Oreochromis niloticus: one gene and its partners. The protein of the gene in region 2 interacts with the protein of the main gene of each other region in a pairwise test. Links are inferred from orthologs where the notes say so. Each region holds a gene or a part of one and is shown on either strand. Other genes may lie near its edges.

Region 1 (7,883 bases), about 8.4 Mb from region 2:
TGTGTGTGTGTGTGTGTTCAGGGCGGTTTCAGGGAGAGCGAGTGGAGCATCTCCGACACTCTGAGTTGATGGATGACTACATGGAACCCAGACAGCTCTGGACCACCAGAGATGTTGCAATACGAGTCCACAGCAGCTTCAGGTCTGCAGACACACACATACACATACACATTAAATGGGTTACATTAACATTGGCAGGAGCTAGCTGCAGCAGCTGTTTCAAACTGTTATGTATCCTATACATGTCTACTCAGCCAATCACATGGCAGCAAACGAATGCATTTAGATATGTAGACATGATCGAGACAAACTGCTGAAGTTCAGACTGAGCATCAGAATGAAGAAGAAAAGTGATTTAAGTGACTTCGAATGCAGCGTGGTTCTTAGTACCAGACAGACTGGTCTGAGTATGATAGTATAGTATGTATGAGTGATAGGCTGGCAGGCTCAGAATTTGAAATCATGGACCCCTCCTTGCTTATGTCAAAGGTTTGGCTGGGCTGTGTATGATGGAGTAATGGTATGTGGGCACGCTTTGGGCCCTTTAGTACCAACTAAGCATCATTTAAACATGGCTTTATCACCACAGTGTACCCGTATTCCAATGGCTGCTTCCAGCAGAATAATGCACCATGTCACAAAACTCAGATCATCTCAAACTACTTTCTTAAATATGAGTTCATTGTATTCAAATACCCTCCACAGTCACCAGATCTCAAACCAAAAGAGCACCTGGAATAGGAAATGTGCATCATCATGTCATCATGGACCAGAATGTTTCCTCCACCTTGTTGAAATTAGGCCACAAAGAAATCAGAAAGGGGTTCTAACCCTGTACTAGCAAAGTGTAACTAATGAAGTGGCTGGTGAATGTATATCTGATATAAAATATTTCACATGCTATGCCATCATACTGCAGTGGTCCTAAATACACCAATTCAGCAGTTCTTTTCTCTTGTTTTGTGACAGAGAAACAAAGACATCAATTTCAATGAGTAGCATGAGTAGCTGCCATGAAACCAGTTTAACGTGGTCCTGTGGTGTGATCTCCACCTGCAGGGTGATAGGTCTGTTCTGCCACGGTTTTCTGGCCGGCTTCGCAGTGTGGAACATCATTGTTGTGTACGTCTTAGCGGGCGAGCAGATGACCACGCTCCCCAACCTGTTGCAGCAGTACCACCTGCTGGCCTACCCGGCTCAGTCTCTGCTCTACCTGCTGCTGGCCATCAGCACTGTGTCTGCATTCGACAGGTTTGTGTGTTTAATAACTCAGAGGTCTACCTCTACACTCTCATTGAGAAGTGGAGGTGGAACCCATGCCATTGTTTAAGCTACTTAAAGGAGTGCGGTTCAGTTTGTGGCCTTTATCATGTCATTTTAATTATCTTTGAAAAATCTTTAATTATTCAACTTGTGCATTTTTACTTTATATCTTTCATCTCTTATTGTTTAAATTGCATTGTTCTTGTATTTTGTTCATCTCAACTGTTAAACTAACAATCCCAAAATTTCACTGCTCTTGTAATTTGAAAGAAATTAAGAATCTGCACTTGGTGGGAACGTGTACTGAAGACCTGTATTTCCACCAGCAATTAAAAGAAATTGTCTCATAATTATCCAAATTCCCGCTGGACAGGAATTGTTGACTTGAATAAATAAGAAGGTGAAAAGTAAGAGCTTTGCTGTTTTGCACCATCTTCAGAGTGAACCTGGCCAAGGCCTCCATGGCCCTGAGAGGCTTCCTCACCCTGGATCCTGTCGCTCTGGCTTCCTTCTGTAAGTAAGACAAGACGAAAGCAGAATGATGATGATGTTGATGTTAAGGCCTTAATGTGGTTAAGGACTATGCAGTCATGTAAAAAACTAGATACCTTTACTGCCTCCATAGAAATTACAAAAGTAGGACCCAGGTACTGCTAATCAAATGCACCTGATTAATTCAATTATATAAAGGCTTTAGCAATTTGCTGGTCTGTCATTCCAAAGTCGTCTTTCCAGGAGTGAACATAGCACCAATTCCCCCAACTCTGCATATCAAAGTATTCAAAAGTGAAGTCATCTGTCTGACAGGTAATATTTGGCTTACACTGGGTCATGTTGAAGAACAATGACCGCCAGCTTAGCAGCAAATCCAAACCTCAGTCTGGCTTAAATGCTGTGCGGCTTCATAGAGCTGTGCATGAACAAAGAACCAAGGTTTAAAGAAGAGTGGGCCAAACTTCCTCCACAACAATGTTACAGACTGATAAAGTCATACAGAAAACATTTACTCATTGTAAGGGCGATTAAGGTAGATCTAAAGCTAATGAATTATGAACCTAGGCATGTTGGACTGGTCATTTTTTACTCTCTTAGTGGTTTTTTACAGGATCTCATAGAAAACTGAAAATGTTCTTTTTTAAATGCCTGTAAGTATCCAAACATCTTCTCTCTTTGTGTGCTCAGTGTATTTTATAGCCCTGATCCTGTCCCTCAGCCAGCAAATGGCCAGTGATCGCATCAACCTGTATCCCACTGCCAACGAGACTCTGTGGTGAGATTTTTGTTTTCATTTTTATAAGTCAGCATTTTTAGCGTGATCTTGGAAAAGTAAAGAGAAAAACAGATGAAAGCAATTCTTTCCACAACAAGTTCAAGGTTGACATGGCAACTGAATTTAAAAACTGATAGGAGCTTAAAGGGCTAAAAGGAAATATCTAATGCAGGATGGTTTAAAAGCAGGTGTTTTACATTATACAATACTTATTAATACTTATTAATATTTCTGTGGTTCTAGTAGAACACTAACCATGTATAAGAAGTTGATTTTTACCAAAAGTGTAACCCTTATTCAGGCAATTGTAGTCACATGTTGGTTTTTTCCCATGATGAAACTAATTTGAATATCTTTCTATATATTGAGTAATACTTACATTTCAATTGTTTGGCAAATTTAAAAACAAAACATTTGAAAACCAAAAGTATCCAGAAAACATTCACACATTTCCACATAAAAGGAACATCTTCCTTTTAACAACACTGAGACCTGAGGTACCATTGCCAAAGACTTTTAAGAGGCTAATGCATTTCTTTTATTAAACTTAACTTGGAGAATCTCAGAGTTCTGCTATTTTCTCCTTACCATGGTTGGAAAACCCTCCTGAGGACTCAATCTTGACATGGAATGGTAAATTAATAACTGCTGTTTAACCTCTCATGTCCTGCAGGCCTCCTGGTTCAGAGCAGCAGATCCTGCGGCCGTGGATTGTAGTGAACCTGGTGGTGGCGCTATCAGTGGGCCTGGCCTGGGCCGTCGTCTCCACACGACCAGACATCGACTACACAGAAGGCAAGTTTAGCTAAAACTAACCTGATATGACTTGGACATTCCATCACCCAGTGATGGAAAGTAACCAAATGTAGTTAAGTACAGTTCTCTGGTCTTTTGCATTACTTGTACAAAAATATGCTATTGCTCATAACAAATATGTATTCCTTTTAAGCTTCAAAAACTTTTTTTATAGAAAATGAAATGTAAAGATCACACAGAGGGATGTTACTTAACTTTGGGGACACCTTCTTGAGCAAACAGGAAACGTTAATGATACTTCACATCCTGTGGAAACAGTGAAATAAAATGAAAAAGTGGTAATAAAACTACAATAACAGAAATCGTAAAAGGCTTCTGTAGGATTTGCAAGGTTTTGGCCACACAGCACACGCACATGGAGTCTCCTGGACTCCAAATACACCAGGTAGTCTGAAGGATTAATGACACATCACTTTTTTTTAATTTAAATGTAGCTGTATATAGTATAAAAGTAATACTTTTGATGCATTGCTGTGTTCCTGGTGTCATTCTTTATGTCACCACTAGATAGAAGCAAAGTGAAACATGTTCAAACCCTAAAAGCAAATGGCAGACATTCACATGTCAGCAAGCCAGCGTGTGTGTGCTTTGTAGAAATGTAAGCTGATGGTCTGGATTTCCTTTTGCAGAGTTTTTGATGACAATGGAAGTGGAGGGATACCCGAGAGGAGATGAGAACCTGGACATTCCGGCCTGAAACCTCTCTCTCTTTCTTTGTCTCCAAGTCTGTTTATGTTTTTGTATAATGTAGCTTTGTGTTTGAGCTGATTTTGCAAATAAACTAATAAAGGCTATATGGTAATAGGTGGTTGATACTTCTGCAGAGGAATAAGTGCCAGAAGAGCATAAAATACTTTCTGGTGTTTGTACTCCACTTGTAAATGTTGTATGTATTATTTTCATTCCTCTATTTTTGCTTATGGTCGTTTGCACCTTTTAGCAGTTTTGTCTGTGAAGTCATTTTGTGTGTCTGTTGTGTTTTCATCACTTTGCAGTTTTTGTGTCTTTGTGTGTTTTCTGTTTGTGGTCATTTTACCCATTTTGCCTGTAACAATTTTTATACACAACAGCAATTTTTTATGCTGTGTGTTGTAATTGGGAAGTCGCTTTGCATGTACTTGGATGTGTCTCCTTTTGTGTATCCGTTTGATGTCATTTGTCATTTTGTGTGCCTTGTTTGTTTGTAGCAGTTTTCTAAGTAATTGTAATATTTCTGAGCTCTATTTGCCTCTTTTACCTTCATCATTTGCATCACCTCCTGCGTGTATTTCATAACAGTTTGTAGTCGTTTCCGAGATGTTTTTGCGTGACTTTGATTAACATTCCCTAAAAAAGAAGGTTAAACAGTCAAACGAAACAATATCGTGGCCCCACCTTACGACAGTGGGCTCTACACTTGTGCCTGGTAGTCCCTCAGAGCACTCCCACTCTCCCACTTTTCTTCATGCCATCACAGTATTGACATTTCCGCACAGCCCCTGAAGGCGCTAGGATCCATCCATTCAGCGCGCGCTGCAGCCGTGTAGTAAAAGCCATGTAAAGATGGCGGAGCTGCAGATGCTGCTGGAGGAGGAAATTCCTGCGGGACGAAGAGCGTTGTTGGACAGTTTTACCAACCTGGAAAGAGTCGCGGAGTACTGCGAAAGCAACTATGTCCAGGTACATGCTCATATTTAAACAGCAAGTGTATAAGTTGGGTGAAATGACATATCGAGGTAATGTCAGTTGGGAGTAGGCGGTTTGGATAGAGGAGTGATGGAATGACCGTGCCAGATTCCGTTATGTTACCCGTGGTTTTTATGTAAAGGGGAAAAGTCACAGCGAATTCAATACAAACACTGACCCGCTGATGCCTGAATACGAAGGGTGTCGGGGTCAATTCGGTTTTTTGAAAAATATCCTCAAACACATCTTTACTAGTGAAAAATCAACTTTTGTAAGTGGTTTGCGCAGCACCGTGTTGTTTTCTGATGGAGCGTGACTCTGTGGGAATGTGATGGGTGGATTTGGGTTAGTTTTAAAAGTTTGCTTTAACCGAAATAAGTTTGAATATGTTCACTGAATGGGTGCCGAATTAATTGTCGAGTTGCGTTTTTCTAGTAAAATGTCTCTTGCAAAGTTTGTGATGTTTATGTAAGCAGGCAATCGCTTGAGCAGAGATGCGTTAATGGGAGTCTGGCGCGACACTTAACTGGTATGTGATTGTGGCCGATAACTTGCACTGTAAATCGCTGCTGAGATTTATGATTTACTTTTACTGCTATTCTATAAACAGTTTGTTTTTATTTATTTATTTTCATCAAATGATAACCGGCAGAATTAGGGAAATTTGAAGATAATTGTTAGTTTCAGTCCTGATCTAAAGTCTTCAGTATCTAGTAAAAACATTGTTTCAAATTGCCATCAAGGTGGCAAATACGGCTGTTATGACAAATAAATGTATCAGATTAATCTTTAGTATAGATCCTTTATAGATTCCGTTTGTCCTTGAAGATGCAGCTAATGATTAATATCATCGCTGATAGCTGACAGCTTTTCTTTGATACAAATTGTGCTTTTCTTTTTTATGCTGTTACAGTGGTTGATGCTCATATTAACATGGCCAAAGTTTCAGACCATGAGGTCAAGTTATTCCTGTGAACCAAAACAAAGTGGTCTAAATGCTCAGTTTCAGACACTTTCTTCTCCTCTTGGCTCTGTATGACGTCAGTGACAGCGGAGATCCCTAATATGGTCATGTCAGGCTCACAACTCTGGCTAATTTATGCAAATATGACATGGAGGAAAAGGGGTTTGCACTCATTGCTCTTTCCATCATTGGTGGAACCGGATGACGTATGCGTCAAGTGGGCATATGGAAGGGAAGGGGACAAGAGTGGATCTTCTCTGTGGCTGGCAAATGGACCAACAACACCACGACCTGTTCTATCACATACTTTGTACACTGTTTCTATCTGACACTGTTTCTGCTCTGCACGCTGAACCAAACTTTTTGTTTCTGGCTGTAAGCACATAAGGCCCACCACCTGCTTTTCAAACCATAGATGGTCTAAAAGATGGACGTAGCCACCATTACGCCAGCTGTTGGTTTGTGAAGTCCTGTTTTTGAATCTTCAAGCTGATGGGTTTTTTCCCCCAAACGTAATGTTTGTCATGTCATTAAAACCGGACGTGACAAGCAAAGGTTGGATCTAAAACTGCACATACGGCAATTTTCAACTGCGACTTACTTGAAGCTGTTGTATTATAGCACAGTCATTTGTCACGGGCATAATACAGCCCCTTGAATTTAGTGTTAAATTAACACTCAGCTTATCCACTGATGGCTTCTTGAGAATGTGAGTTAGACACCAGTATCTGTACTGGGCTGCCATCCCTCCACCCCCGTGCTTGCTTATCGGAGAGTGTGTGAGTGTACGTGGGCAGACAAGGCTGTTACGGACAACTGTTCTTCCTCAGCTGGCTCTGTAGACACACCTGTTCATCGCCACATTTCATTTAGATTCGTGTGTTTGTGTGAGTCTTACTGTCAGTCAACAAGTGAAAGTGCATCAACAGTCTTTCTTCTTTAAAGGCCAGAAGCACACAGGCGCTACATGATGCGTCACAGCAGACCGACACAGTGAAATCTTGTTCTGCACATCTACACATGATGAATTCCACAAGGGCGCTTTCTTTTTCCCCTCTTTTATTCCTTCTCCTCTCTATTTCTTCTTTCCTTTATAACCTTTGACCTTTTTATTTCTCTGAAATTCTCAGTCTGTTTTCACACAGTACTAGCTTGGCATTAGCTTTCTCATTTTTAGCAGTCACATCAGCAGTAACATGTCATCTTCTCAGGAAAACTGAAAGTCTTTTTTAGCTCGTTAGACTGCTCACACTGCATGTTCAGATTGAGCCTAGCATGGCTAACTCAGTACCCAGAGGATGGCCTACATTTATGCAGCCAGCAGATGATGTGATTGTTACATAATAGCGCAGTGTGCTGATCCTGTTTTATGGGCTAAATATTTGGATTCAGAGTTGACCCGGGTCAAGTTGTTGTTGGTCTTATGTGGCCACATCCTGGCATCATTGTGGTCCAAATTCAGATTTAAAACAGTCTAGTGCTTTTTAAGGGGTGGGGGTGGGGGGGGTGGGGGGGGTTACAGAGTGTCTTTATTCTTTTACTTTTGCATTCCCAGAAAGTTGATTTCCTTACCTGCATCAAGGTGCTCTGAGTGTTTATTTGTTTTCTGTGAACAGAGATTTTCAATAACATAATGTTGCAACTGTACAAGATACAGTCATGAAGCTTTGCACGTCTGTGGTTGACATCAAAATGAATGCTGGCTTTGAACATGGGTGTGGTCAGTTTTGAGCATTAAATAAAGGCTTCCTGGAAGTGGGGAGGACAAGGGCTCCTTCCCATTTTATTTTGTGCAATCCCAACAAGCAGACAAACACCTGTGAGCAAACACTTGGCAACAGTGAAAAGGGAAAACTGTCTTTTAACAGGAAGAAACCTCCAGCAGAACCAGGCTCAGGGTGGGGC
Region 2 (7,507 bases):
GTCATTTTCCACTGGCTTCCACTCAAAACAACAGAGGAAAAAAATATTGTGCGGGCACAGCGCGGCAGTATGCAAGGGATATTTTTTTTTTTTTTTTTTTTTTTTTTTCTTTAAGGCCCATTAGGCATACACAAGAAAGACGAGCAGAGTAATTAGTTGCAGCTCATAAAAGTGCAATCAAATACACAGAAGAAAGAGGATTTGGATTACTCTCTCATCTGTAAGAAGAAAAAAAATGCAGCTCAAATGACAAACGTGCACATGTTCCAAGTTTGATAGGGGAAGTTAAGACAAAAAATAGCAATTTGTCACTAAATGCGAGGGCGATCTACACGCTCGTATTTATATCAACGTCACATATACTAAGAAATATTCATATTACATTATTTTCTCTAAATCGGCACCAAATGTTTATGCAATCATCTGACGTCCAGAGTATTCTGTTCAACATTTGCTACGAGCTGCCTTCATATCAACTTAAAGTGACAAAGCTCATGCAAGGTGGAAACAAACAAAGTCATATATTAACACCAGTGTTTGTTCTTTCTATCAGATTGGATATGAGGTTAATCATTACCTGTTGTCCAGGCTGCTTCATTCACTTAGGCACATTATGGTAGGAAAAACCATGCATGTTTTAATATCCAAATGCTGAATCACACACTGGTTAAAAAAAAAAAAAAAAAATAGCTTCAGTTCATCTCCAGCATTTAACACTTGGCAGACTATTAAAGGGGAAGTTCCCACAGATTGACTCTTAAAATTTTTGACTTTATTAATTGATGATGGCTGCCTGAACGCACCATTGGTTTCAGTCTCCGCAGCACATGGAGGCAATTTAATGTGTGTCATTTTGAAAAGGGCTCTTCTATAAGTCCAGCTTATAATGAAACATGTCAATTATAAATTCTTGAAAGGAGAGGTAATGAAAGACTCCTTTAAATGATGCAATTGGAGCAACCAGCAGTTAGAAAAAGCCCCAAATAATTGGTTTACAAAGATTTTAAAGAGGGAAAAAAGCAGCATCTGCAAAATTGACTTAATCAGCTTTAGATTAAAATGACAAAATTGCTTAACATGTGCACACACTTGGTAATCAATGATTCCTTCAAAATGTACCTACAAAATATGCCTTAGATCAAAACCTCATTTAAAAACATACATGCAACAGGATACAGCAGGTTTGCAACAATTATCTGACTCACTTCTACATTACTTTCTCAGTTATAACTGTTTATAAGTCGTAAAATAAAATTCTAAAAAAAGGCACGGCGTGAGTTATTTTAATACCGCTTTTTTTGATTGCCAATCAAAAATGCAATAATATTCAGCTTACAATCATAGAGGATCAAGAAATGCAGCAAATATTCACTGAGAGGTGGAATCAGACCCAAATTACCCGATCACCGTAATTCCCATAACTAATAGTTTCAGGTCAAATTTAGGGTTTAACTGAACCACCACATAATCTACAACACTCATACTAAATGTTACTTGAGTGTGAAGTCAGCCCGAAAAGCTCACATTTCCACTGAGTACATGCAGTTACTGCACTTCTCGGTATCATTAGCAGTCTTTCTAGTTTTAGTTTCTGATATGCTGGAAATGCAAAGCACTGAAACTCGCGTTCTCTCTTTGCTTTGTGATGTAATGGACGTTTATGCAATTCACACTTTATCGCTCCATTATTGCACATGCCTACACGGCATACCTGTCACTTCTGAGTGAACCTTGTCCTAGACTCAGAGCTAACATGGTGCTCTTGTCAGAGGGTGTGTCGGCAGAATAGGTGTGCCACGCAAGTGTACCTGCATGTTGAAAAAAAGAAAAAAGAGAAACTGTGCTTTCTTATAACCTCAGTCCTTGCATTTGCATGCAAGTGCAAATTTCCCCCCGTCTTCTAGAATAAAAGGGACTTTAGTTATGGACAATAACTGCCACAGCAAGACAGACAATGCATGCTATTCTCTGCTGCTATTGATGAGGAGGACGCACGGTGTAGTTACCATGAAAAGCCACTAGACATTCAACATTGACAATCTCGGCATGTGGCACCAGTCGCCAGTCTATGGTGTTTTGGCAAATGTGGTTCATTGTGTAAGCCACTGCGTTTTTAAACAGGCCTGCTGACAAACGCAGTGCATTGTAAATGTAAAAAAAATAACATGAATTTATGTGTGGATTTCTATTAATTTGAGATATAAATGCGAGAAATTACTCAAACAAGAGCAGCTGCCTGAGAAAACAGTCTAAAGGACCTGCCTGAGGATTGCTTGAGTAGCTTGCGCTTACAGGCCTTTAAGAAGTGGCCCCGCACAAAAATTGCTAAATGGTAAAGTTGATAAATTGAAAACCATTTAGTCTGGCTCTAAAAATGAAAAAAGAAAAATATCACTGTTTGTGTGGCTAGTTAACAGCAACCACTCAAACGCAAGGAAAAACCGAGGCTGTAGCACACAGCGTCCAGTGAAACCACCTCTGAGTGGACAAAGACCCAGCGTCAAACCTACAAAGTGGCACGAGCAAGCTGCCGTTTTTCTTTACCCCAACTTTTACTTCAGCTTGTAATGACATTTTTCGCGGGCAAATTTAACTAAAAACGGTTGTTTAAGCAGCACTGAAATGGCCAAAGCGACCGGTCCAAGTGCACCAACTTAACACAGTTCATTTGCGGTTACAAGGCTTACCTTAGTGTTCACTCCAGTGAGAATGGGCAAACAGCGACACGCTCAACAACAAACCCCGAACCAGAACCCGCCAATCAAATTGTAAGTTAGGGAGCCCGCGCGAAAGCCGCAAAGATAACCCCCTACATCCACATATCCACGGGTTTCTCTATTTTTTCTTTCTTTTAAAACAAGAATCGAGCATGAAGTGTCCGACCTATTATCGCTTGTTTTTTCCGTCGCAGGCTGACTGCCTCCACCTCAATCACTCGTTTCAAGCTTGGTCTATGGGGCTGCCAACTTCCGCTCTTTGCTTTCAAAATAAATTCTTCTGGGCGTACAGACGTTGCAGTCAAACGAGCTGAATTTGAAATCCGGAGGAAATGGTGATAGAAGTTTAACTTCCAGGTGGGAAAAATAGATTTTTAATAAATGTGTTTAGATTTTTAAAGTTTTTAAGTTTTTAAGTCAGATATGTCTTGTGTTTCGGTTTATGCCTTTTTTTTTTTAAAATCTCCAAGTAACCAGTATTTTATTTAATAAGTTAATTCAGATGATTCGTCAAAATATCTGCCCTTAAAGGTGTCTAGAAGCTTCACAAAGACTTGTTTCCAGAAGGATTCTGGGTCTTCTCCTTCATCTGACTGCTCCTTTTAGGGGGTCACCACATCAGATGCTCTGGCTCCATCTCACCCTATTCCTGACATCCTCCTCTGTCACACAACCAACTTCATTACATCCACGAATCTTCTCTGTCATCATCCTCTTTTCCCCCTGCCTGGCAGCTTCATATCCAATATCCTTTGTTCAACCTACGACCTATCTCCCTCTCCAAATGTCCAAACTCTCTCTAATTCTATCTCCAAACTTACCTGGTCACTCACAATGAAAAATTTAGCATCTTCAACTCCCTGTCCTTTTTGTTCATCTCCAAACCCCACATAACAGCAGGTCTCACTACCCTCCCAAGGTGGCTGTGGCTAGGTGTGAAAAGAAATGTTAAGCAGGATGCAAACAGAGATTATGAATTTAAAAATATTTTATTTTCTATTTTAATTTTTATTCAGTTTTCTGTTATTCATGTTTGCGCCTACAATTTTCAATGAAATTTTGCTTCTGTGTTATCCAAGTGATCTAAGACGACTAATGCTTTTATTTCGAAGACACCTTCTTTGATTTCCGGTTTGATTTCGTTGAGTGCGCTCAGCTTGATCGCCGGTCCCCTTGGTGACGTCACCCACACCGGGACTCGTACAGGACAACGCCGAGAGAAAGGGAGAAAATGTGAGGTACTGTGTCGCCCCTTGGCGACCACACTGGGAAAACGGATGTATTTTATTTTATTTTTACATGCAAAGTGGTTTTTTTTTTCAATAGCCTGCAAGTGATTATCTTGAGTAAACTCATAAACAAAAACTTAGTATTGATGAGTTCATCAAAAAGTCCCTGCTCGCCCGTCAACTATGTAATTAATCATACCAAAGTATTCGTCGTATATTACACAGTAAACTCCATTGTTCACACACTAAATTTAGACTTTGTGCGGTTGTTTTCTCATCTGTGTGTTCCTTCTCACGGTTTTCATCACTCAGATGGTGTGCTATTTACAGAAATAAATCATCCTACACACTTGAAACTGTTAAAAATAACACGAGGCGGAAAAGACGTTGCATTTAGCTCATGTTAGAGTGAAAAAAAGAGTTAAAAACAGTCAAACACCTTGACACGCTAGAGGTTCAATGAGCAGGTCTGATATTTACCAGTACTAAGGTTTAGTAATCAAAGAGCAATCAGATTAAAAGCAATCAGAGCAAAATCCCCCCCGTTGTATTTTATGTTTGTTAGACACACCTAACATACAGTATATGATCTCATGAGTACTGACAAGGCCGCATTTTCATGAATAAACCTTGAGCACGAGTAACCGGTTGCATAATAACAGGTTGGTTTTTACATCCAATCAAAACAAGTCAGTCCTAAGATGGTAATAAAAGAAAGCTGCACTGAGTCGATGCCGATCTGATTTAGGAATGGAGTCCCTACTGAAGTGTCCAAAGTGTCCCGTTTTTCCTTGCTCAGTATCCCACGGTGATTTGCTTTTATGGGCACCATTCGAAATCAAATAATGTTCTAGATCTAATTTTGAGAAATTAGAGCCGTGGCAAAAGGCCAGAATTTAGTCAATATCTCTAAAGACTTTTTCTCAACTATATATTACATGTCAGTTTTATGACAGTTTGTCTGTCATGTAAGAAAAAAATAAAATAATATCGCTGTTTTGAATGCTGTAAAAGTGCAGTCTCACATTAAGACTACATCCTGTGTCTCTGACTACTACACATTTGTAATTTATGACTGGATTTGGATCCTACTCAACACACAGTTTTCATAGCCAAAACCTTCTGTTCCCACTAATCTCTTATGTGCAATATCCATCTGTTTTAACAGTTCAGTTGGCCCAAATCCACCGATGCTGATTCATTTATGCGTACCGTGTTACACTGCGCCTTCACACGTCCCTATTCATTCCTGCAATGTAAAGCAAAGCAGTTACCTGTAAACGCCCTTTGACACTCAACTCAGCAGGCCTGAGCGACACTTTTTTGTCTTTATTTCAAAGTGTGCAGTGAGAGTGAAAATAACACTGCACGTGTATAGAGAGGCTCTTGTAGCATTGGATTTGCTGTCACAAGGGGGCAGAACATCCTTGGAAGAAATGCATATCCATTACTGGTATGCCAAAAGCTTTAATGTGCCCTAAATGCTGCAGCAGGTCAGATGTAGTGCACCAAAAGTATCAGGATGTCTGCCTGCATTGTTCCCCTTCTGCAACACAAAAGCTAAAATGCTTTTTGTCCCTTCTAATCCACCAAACTCTGCACCACCAATACAAAGTCGCAGTATCACGACTCAGTGTGTCCCATTTGCATGCATATTGTAAGAAACAGTGCTAAAAAGATAAAGTATGTGACCTGGATCACGGGCGCTGTCCCCGTAATCATGTGCGAATGCCTAACATACCAACCTTCATCACCATAGCGTCAGGATTTGACAAATAAATGACCATCTGCTGACCTTTTCACCCACACTCCACTCCTCCACCCCTCACCCCAACCACCCTGTCTTATTCATCATACACAATTTTGTTTTCTACCTCAACAAACTAATTTAATTAGAGGACAGTTGGATGAATAACTGTAAGCACGTGCTTATTTTTAACCATCCACGTTAAAAGTTAAATCCGTTTTAATGCTGCGGACTCACGGGTAATTGGAAAGAGCTGATGTGCGTGTTCACACTGCTACACTTGGTATTATTAGATTTCCCGATTGGATATCATTCAGCATAAAGTTCATTATATAACTTTCAAAAACAACATTACATGTCTAAGGGGGGAGGAGGCGGTGTTTAATGTTGCTGAAGAAGTGCAAAATTATTGGAATGGTTTGTCTTTCATACCCCACTCCTCCTAATCCCGAGGCAAACTTGATTTATTAATCGAGACTGAGTCACACATGTCACCACTCTATCTGCTGCTGCTATAACCAGGATGTCTTCCATTTTAGAGCCACGCCCCTCATATTGTCACCAGTGACACTGTATCGTCGACTGGTGAGGGGCCTGCAGCTGAGCGGAGCTATAGTTACCATGCTGATGAAACTGGATGTTTATTTTGGCAGAAAGGCACCCCGTGTTTAAGTATATCTGACCGGAGGTGGTGATGTACGTGATGAACCAGCGGCTCCTGTGCTATGTTTGCAATTCACTGACCTCAAGGCCAAGTGAGACTTTTAGCCTTCTGAAACATAGATTACGTATGATGGAAATGAGCATCTTTGATCCTTCAAAGAGAGGATGTATTCATCAAAATGCAGAAATGTATTATCTTGGTGTCACAGATGTAGATATGGTGCTTTCCCCCCGCTGTTAAAACATCCACTTTGGAAAAGGCTGGTTTGAAGAGGGTATGAGAGTTGGTTAGTGGTTTGTAGAGACAGAGTTACAGAGAGTTAATGGGTGGATATTAAAATTAGCTCTCACATGTGTTTCTGGAATAAAAAGCAGAATCAGAATAGTTTAATAATCCTCTATGGTTGCAAAACCAGCCCTATTCATCACCACTCTACCACCGTGCTTAACAGCGTTGTATGAGGTGTTTGTGCTGATATGCTGTGTTTGGGTTTTCTCTAAATGCAGTGCTATGCAATATAGCCAAATAGTTCCACTCTGGTCTCATGTATCCCAAGGACACTGTTCCAGAAGTCTTGTGGTTTATTCAGGTGCAACTTTGCAAACCTAAGCCGCGCTGCCATGTTCTTTTTAAAGAGAAAAGAGGCTTCCATCCAGAATAGTCATACAGTACTTGTTGAATGTGTTTCTAATTGCACTGTCATGAACTTTAACATTTAGCATGCTAACAGAGTCAGAGATGTAGCTCTTGAGTTAATTGCAGTTTCTCTGAGCACTGCACAATCTGACCTTGAGGTGAATTTGTTGGGACGTCCAATCCTGGAAAGTTTGGCAACTGTCTTGAATGTTTTCCATTTGTGAACAATCTTTCCCTCCACAGGATGACAGCCCTCTCTGGCAGAAGGAAGCCTTTCTGTCAGAAAAGTCTTCCAAAACAAACTCCTTGCATTCTGAAAAAAGAAATGTTGTGAAGGGAAACATCTACCACAACCACATGAGATGTTTTGTATCTGGTATCGGAAAGCTATATACATCACAGTGACATGGCTGATCAGCTGGAATGATGGTGTTAGAGCCACATTAATATGATTCATTAGGGGGAAAAAAACACCAATACAGCAATGTCTTTACATACACACCAAACCAGCTCC
Region 3 (7,091 bases), on a different chromosome or scaffold from region 2:
TGTCACTTAATGAGGACATTTTTTTTATGGACCTTTATGAACCATTTTGTCATCATTACCCTTTTAATTTTTTCGTTCTTTCTCTCTATTTTTCAGGCATTTCAACGAGCCAAAGTGAGTGAGACTGCGGATTTAATAGTAAGTGTTACGCATCGCCCCACGCTTATCCACCTACCTTTATTTAAGAGTAAAGCTTGTCTGGCGGAGTTGTTTTTCCAATGACAGCAACCACCTTAATATCTGCACTTCCACTTAATTTATTCAGACACTCTGGCATTATGTTCTTTGTCTCGTTTCTTACGATTTCAAACATAGAAGCCTAAACAAAAACTCCAACTTAAGATGGAATTACCATCCTATACTCTCAACTTCTTGCAGTGCCAGTTAGCCGGATTTAACTGCGCAGTGAGTCTTATGAACCACATCATTGCTGCAAAACCAACCAACTGTTTATGTGGGGAATCTAGTTTCTGAAACCGCCTCTGCTCCCTTGGCTGCTGCTTTTTAAAGAGTATTCATATCCAACTAGTCTCCAGTCTGTCTGCACTTCATTAAAACTTTTTATTTTAACTGGACGATACAGCTTAACGTTATTACACCTGGGGAGAGTAAACGTGGAAAGGCTATTAGGTTAAGAGTTTGATTAAAAGCGCATCGTAACCGTTTTCATCAGGGAGCACAATATTGCTGCACTGTCTGCATCCAAGTCAGGTACTCGGCCACCAAATTAAAAAAAAAAAAAAGAGCAGCACTGCGTGGACAGAACGACCTCCACATAGTTTTGCACAGATTTATTTTGTTTACATATGTACATGTGTGAACACGCTTGTAAGGCTGTTATTTTGCAGGGGAGGAAAAGGGAAAGCTTAATTTCTCAAATGAACAAATGAAACATCAAATTAGTCCGCCTGAGGGCCTCATTTTTTGTACTTCTACATTATAACTAGTTATTGAACTAGGTGCACGATCTGAAAGCCATTTGTGGGGAGAAAGAATTCATTGCTGTCTCTCCATCAATAATCCTTGGCAGTGAACTATTGGAACCAGTCAAACGCGAGGGGTGAAACGCGGGTCAGGCTGTCTAACTAATATTAAAATGCGTCCGCCAGAGCGCATGGGGCGAGAGGGAGTAGGTGGTGTGCATGTAGCTCCTTTCACACTGGTTGTGTGCACGACAAACAGCATGTCTTTTGATGAGAATATGAAAAAAAAATCCAAATGAATATGAGTTAGATTTTTTTTTTTTGTTACCACTTCTCGGGAGTTCACTGTGTGTTGGGGCGGGAGGCTTTGTTAATCAATTTTAAAAAATCAAATTGATGCGCGGGATGCTGGCGGAGAAATATGTAGATTGAGATGTTTTTTGACAGTGTTTGAAGCACCCTGTGCATCACCGCTCTAATCAATTCCATTGATTCACAATCTGAGCATGTTTGCTGTTTTTAATAACCCCGAAACAGGTCACATGTCTGATATTGCATTTTTCATCCGAGGCTTTTCTCATTAGCTTCCAGAGTGGCAGCAAGAAAGGTTACCGAGCGGTCAGTATGGTAATAGCAAGCAGAAGAAATGGTTGGGAACAATAGAAACTTATTTTTCATGTGTGCTGTCACGCCGTCCCTTTGTATCCTTCGTGTTTGTGGCTGAATATTCATATAGGAGGTACCTCAAAGGCAGAGGCTGAATGTTGAGAAAAGAGACCCTTTCTGTTCTCTGCGTACGGCGTCTTTATGCTTTGTGTGTGTGTGTGTGTGTGTGTGTGTGTGTGTGTGTGTGTGTGTGTGTGTGTGTTTGCAGGCATACGTGTGCACTCATGGATATTTTATTTTTAGAGAAAGGACGTAAAATGTGTGTTTTCCATTGCCTGTAGATGTATCCATAGCAGGAGTGGGGTTTGTTTGTGACTTTGCTTCTTGAATCCTGATAAACAGAATCCGCTTTGACGCACGCTTTCTGTGGTATTTCCACTCTGATGCTTCTTGTGACACGACTGCGAAATGCACGATAACCTGCTTGCCACAGATATTTGCCCGGCAGATGACCTTTTACAGTGTCTAACCTAAAACACATTAGTTGTCTATATGTACCCTGTAGAACCGAATTTGTGTGAAGTACAAGCAGTCGCAAATACGTCTCTACAGGAATACATGGGCAACTGAAATACCACGCCAGTCGATGGATTGTTCTGCATCTGCTTCCCTTCACGTCTCTCTGGCATTTTTTTCTTCCTGCTTTTGCATATACAAGCATCAACGATGATACATACAGCCTGCATCCACCCCATCCACGGGCTCTAGCAGTGCAATAACGCTGTCACAAAGTGTATTCATAGCTCAGACAGCCACAGATTGTGTAGGTAGGCCACAGAGAACGTGCAGTGTGCGGCTACTACTGTGTCAGACCCTGTAAAACACGTTAGGAACCAGGGGTCGTTTAAAAGTGACTGATTTACGGCTTTTATTGCTCTATAAAACGCCTCTAACATCCTCACTAGGGGTAATAGAAATGTCGTGCGCATTCTTTACAAACAGTACAGCCGGAATTATGATAAGCAATTTCACGTCGTTTTTAACCGTATTATTTAACTGCTGCTGTGAAAATAGATGCTTAACTTGCAATGTGATGGTTTGAATGGAAATATACCATTGTATTATTATTATTATTATTATTATTATTATTATTATTATTACTCTCCACCTGAAGACATATAAGTGAAACATGGGGGTGTTAAGGTGATAGGGAGGTTAACTTCACTCTGTCTGCCTACAGCTGACTCTGAGACAACAATGGGAAGCTTCCAGCACATGACAAGTTTATACACCCAGGCAGTATCAGTTTACAATAAAACAACAGACCACCAGTGCTGTAGACTGTGGCTCATGGTCAGTGCTTCAGCCAGGGTTAGCATGTAACATTTTCAGGGTGGATTTTCCTGAAGGCTGCTGAACAAAAGAAAATGTTCTAATACTTTCAGTGTTTGTATTTTACTGTTTAGAGTAACCATGTTTTTTTTTTTACTAATCATAGGGATGTTGCATTCTGCAATTCTTCTTCAGCACTTCTTGTAGTTTCGATGGCCTGTCTCATCTGCCTAACAGTGTTGTTTTTCCTCACATAGATGCTGTTCATTGATTGTTCCTGCGCTTTTATTTGGGCCATTACAAAGCTCAGAAACATGTGCACCAAGTAACAGATAAGGGCTTTTTCAAGCTGTAAAACTGCAGTCAGAAGAAAGGGGAATTAGCACCACTCAAGACCACAAGGACTGGTGGCTGATTTCTATTTACACGTGTCGTGAATTGCTATCATGCATTTAGGACAGATGTTCACTTAGTCAAGAGTGTGTACAGCAGACTCTCTTGTCTGCAGCAACTTCACAGTGACACAATACTGGTCCTGCAGTTAAATCAGCAGCTCATTACACCCTCTGCTCTGTGACATAATAGTGATGTAGTTTCACTGCTGGCTGGTTTGTGAGCTCCTGGTGAATGCTTCTCTGCAGGGTTGTGTGTCCCTGATCTGTGACATCATATTAGTGATATTATGTAAGTTTGATCAGTTGGATGTTTCACGCCTGCTTAGCCCGCATCTGTGTTGCAGTTTTGTTGTGTCTATGACATTTTAGTCTGTGGCATATCAGGGTTTATATTCAAGTTTTGATTTATGCAATGTTTTGTTTTTTATGGTTGCTTTGTTGTGTTGTGCCTTATGGAAGCAAAGATTAGAGATTAAACAAGTTTTGCTTTGTCTTTCTGTAGGATAGAATAGAAGCACCTTGGATGGATTCTCAAAATCTTTTATATTGTAAAGCATTTCACAACTTTTGTTCCAGCAGATTTTGGCTACATTAAAGCAGCAACCTCAGATACAGAATCCTTCTGTAATTCAGTCCCATTCTTAATGCTATATACTGAGATATTTATAACTGAGCCATTTGTATCTTTTACATCTTTTTCGTTATATTTTGTAACTTTGTAATATACTGTATTATTTAATTTAGTGTAGTTATTTACTGTTCTTACTGTCTTGGAGCAACTGTGGCCACATAATTTCCTCGGGGATTAATAAAGTATTCTGATTCTAATTATTCTTACCAATTTTCATTTAAAAGCTGAAAAAATCCATACAAATGTGTAGTCTGAAAGAAATTAATACGGATTCGAAATAGATAGACCTAAATTTCTCATTGTTGAAGAACCTGCCACTGAGGCAGATTGTTTCTCTCTGTCCACTTCTGTCCAGCACTACAAATGATCAGTCTTCATCTCCTCCAAAGCTGGAGAGCATTCACCTCTCCACTGACATTCATAGTCACGATATCTTACCTATGTTACTGCTGAAATGGTTTTTAGGGAATAAAGAAAGAAAACTTAAAGAAAGAAAGAAAGCAATCCAGACCTTATTCTTAGTCTCGTGAAGAGACCCTGGACTATGTCACAGCTGAAGCTTTGTTGTCAGAGACGGTCTTTGTTAATCAGCCGATCATCTTTATATAAGGTGTTATAACTAACACAATAACTGGTTTGCCATTGTTGTACCTCATCCTTGTCCCTTTGAATAATTGAGACCACTGTATTTGCCTGTTATATTTTTTCCTTGGTCAGCAACTAGCTACTAGTTTTGTCCCCAAGATCAATTGCCTTGGTAACGCAGCCAGAGAGAGAGAGAGAGAGGGAGAGAGAAAGAGAGAGAGAAAGAGCGAGAGAGAGAGAGAGAGCGAGAGAGAAAGATTTGTGCCCACAATGGCGACTGTAGGTATGCTAAATACCTCTGGTTCCTTATCCGGGAACTACCTCTTACCCTGCTATTGGGCCATTGGGTCACGTGGTAAAAGTAACTTTACAGGGCTGCTCGCAAGTAGGAGGGCTTTATGGAGCAGAAAAACGACAAAGCTAGAAAAATTATTTTCCACTCCAGAAATTAATGATCATGAGCTCGTATTTGATGGAGTCTAACTACATTGATCCGAAATTTCCTCCATGCGAGGAATATTCGCAAAATAACTACATCCCCGAGCATAGTCCAGAATATTACAGCCGCGCAAGGGACACTGGCTACCAGCATCACCATCAGGAGTTATATCCTCCGCGGGCGAGCTACCAAGAGCGCCAGTATAACTGTGCAAGCATCCCTGAACCTGACACGCCAAGGGGACATGGAATACCCCATTCTGCGCATCTACTGACAGGGAAAGGGCAGCCTGCTTCATGTGAAACCCCACAGTTGTCCATGTCCCCCGCCACCCCACCGGCCGCAACCTCCGCCTGCAACCAAGCTACCCCGGAGCATCCAAACAGCACAGCCTCCTCCAAACAGCCTGTGGTGTACCCATGGATGAAGAAAATTCACGTCAGCACTGGTAGGCAACTTGTGTGTTTATGTTCCCTGCACTCCTCATGCTCCTCTCTCCCCTTCCCTCCCTTTATCAGTCCCTCTGACTCCCATCTCGTTGCCAGCCCCTGCTCCGATAGCAGGGAAGCCTTTGAAATGGCACAATTGAGGCGGATTTACGACTCGGCATTGGTAATTACACCCACCATAAATTTTATAGCCGAGGTATACTCAGGGCAGCCGTATCACCATGTGGCTTCTGCTGTTATGTATTGCGCGATGGAGAGAGGGGGAGAAATGAATAAGAAAAAAAAAAATCTGAGCTTTGTAATCTTGCATTAATAATTTAGCTCATAGTTGGATGTGAGTGTCCTCTCATTACGTAGAGAAGTTCTTAACTTCCCATTTAAATTTCTCAAACAGCTAAACATTCATAACCAATAAATCTTTCCAGCCATATCTCAGTTGAGGCCATTCTTGTTTACCCCTCCTTTCCTCCCTTCTCTGTCTCCCTTTCTCTCCTCTTCTCCTTCTTCCAGTGAACTCTGGTTACAATGGGACGGAGCCCAAGCGGTCTAGGACAGCATACACCCGGCAGCAAGTCTTAGAATTGGAGAAGGAATTCCACTATAACCGATATTTAACTCGGCGGAGGCGCATCGAGATCGCACACACCCTGGTTCTCTCCGAGCGGCAGATTAAAATCTGGTTTCAAAACCGCAGGATGAAATGGAAAAAGGATCACAGGCTCCCGAACACCAAAGTGAGATCCTCGTCCTCTTCCTCCGGGTCCAACACAAGCTCAGCAGCCGGCGCTGTTGCCGCTGCCTCGGCCACTAACACGGGGGCCCCCGACGAACTTACCGGAGCCCAGCATGGCGAGGATATTACCAGGTTATAAAACCATGAACCAATACTGGGGGTAGAATAAGAACTGGTTATTTATAGAACACTTATATATTTTGTTTTCGTAGCTATCTTGTGCGGTTTCCTTTAAGTCCAAAGTTATATAAAATGCATGTTATATAGCATGGATTACTGCGAATACCGATGAATTATTTTTACGTGACACAGGGTTTAATTTATTTGAAGTTCAATTAAAATGATGTTTTTTATTAAAAAAATGTTTTGAATGAAGGAAGAAAAAGTAGAAAAAAATATACATTTTATCAAAATGTTATTGTGGGCCATTCTTTTGCCCTGCTGCCCAAGGTGAAATGCACAATCTATTTATTTCAAACAACACTGGAAGGAAATCACTATAATAATAGTTATTTTTGGTATATAAAAAAGAAAGCTGGAACACACCATTGATCTTGAACTTGTATGTTTAGGAGAATAACAATGTGTGAATTACCTCGTGTATTTCAGAAACAGGATTTTTCTTTTTCTTTTTCATTTTGCAATTTAGTTTTGTGGTGTTGATGTTGTGTTTTAGACCGTTAAAAGCAGATTATTGTGAAATGCAATAAACGGAGTTTAGTGTACTTGTGCTAATCATATTGGTCAATAAAACAGTGAGTGTCTACTAGTTTTAAATACGTTTGTTCCAAGTTCATTTTAGGTAAGGTGAGGTCTACTGTTGCAAGATTGGAGGCGCTCCTTAAAAGTGTACAGATGTGTGAATACTGGACATTTCACGAGGGAAACAAAAATCACTGTGTTTTTAAACTGTGTTTGTCAATCCTGCAGCTCCCTTTTTTGCGTGTTTATATTAGCAATGTGTACAGACACTGAGTGTGTGTATGGTTTGTATGTGT

What was found.
Region 1: the proteins of nck2a (region 2) and abl interactor 2 interact in binary tests that used the Homo sapiens proteins (3 or more experiments, as listed by UniProt). The link is inferred for Oreochromis niloticus from reciprocal best matches to the Homo sapiens genes NCK2 and ABI2.
Region 3: the proteins of nck2a (region 2) and hoxc4a interact in binary tests that used the Homo sapiens proteins (3 or more experiments, as listed by UniProt). The two-hybrid records come from large-scale screens. The link is inferred for Oreochromis niloticus from reciprocal best matches to the Homo sapiens genes NCK2 and HOXC4.

What each region holds. Positions count from the first base shown.
Region 1 is NC_031987.2:29,356,862-29,364,744, forward strand, and holds the start of abl interactor 2, read left to right. Parts: upstream 1-4,865; 5' UTR 4,866-4,891; coding exon 4,892-5,008; intron 5,009-7,883. Other genes in the region: transmembrane protein 237A, read left to right, coding at 22-142, 1,060-1,251, 1,703-1,776, 2,446-2,533, 3,207-3,328, 3,979-4,046. UniProt on the Homo sapiens protein: Regulator of actin cytoskeleton dynamics underlying cell motility and adhesion. Functions as a component of the WAVE complex, which activates actin nucleating machinery Arp2/3 to drive lamellipodia formation.
Region 2 is NC_031987.2:20,986,189-20,993,695, reverse strand, and holds the start of nck2a (cytoplasmic protein NCK2a), read right to left. Parts: upstream 3,003-7,507; 5' UTR 2,884-3,002; exon of another isoform or gene 2,688-2,883; intron 664-2,687; exon of another isoform or gene 578-663; intron 1-577. UniProt on the Homo sapiens protein: Adapter protein which associates with tyrosine-phosphorylated growth factor receptors or their cellular substrates. Maintains low levels of EIF2S1 phosphorylation by promoting its dephosphorylation by PP1.
Region 3 is NC_031984.2:19,198,614-19,205,704, reverse strand, and holds hoxc4a (homeobox protein Hox-C4a), read left to right. Parts: upstream 1-4,073; 5' UTR 4,074-4,923; coding exon 4,924-5,359; intron 5,360-5,870; coding exon 5,871-6,232; 3' UTR 6,233-6,857; downstream 6,858-7,091. UniProt on the Homo sapiens protein: Sequence-specific transcription factor which is part of a developmental regulatory system that provides cells with specific positional identities on the anterior-posterior axis.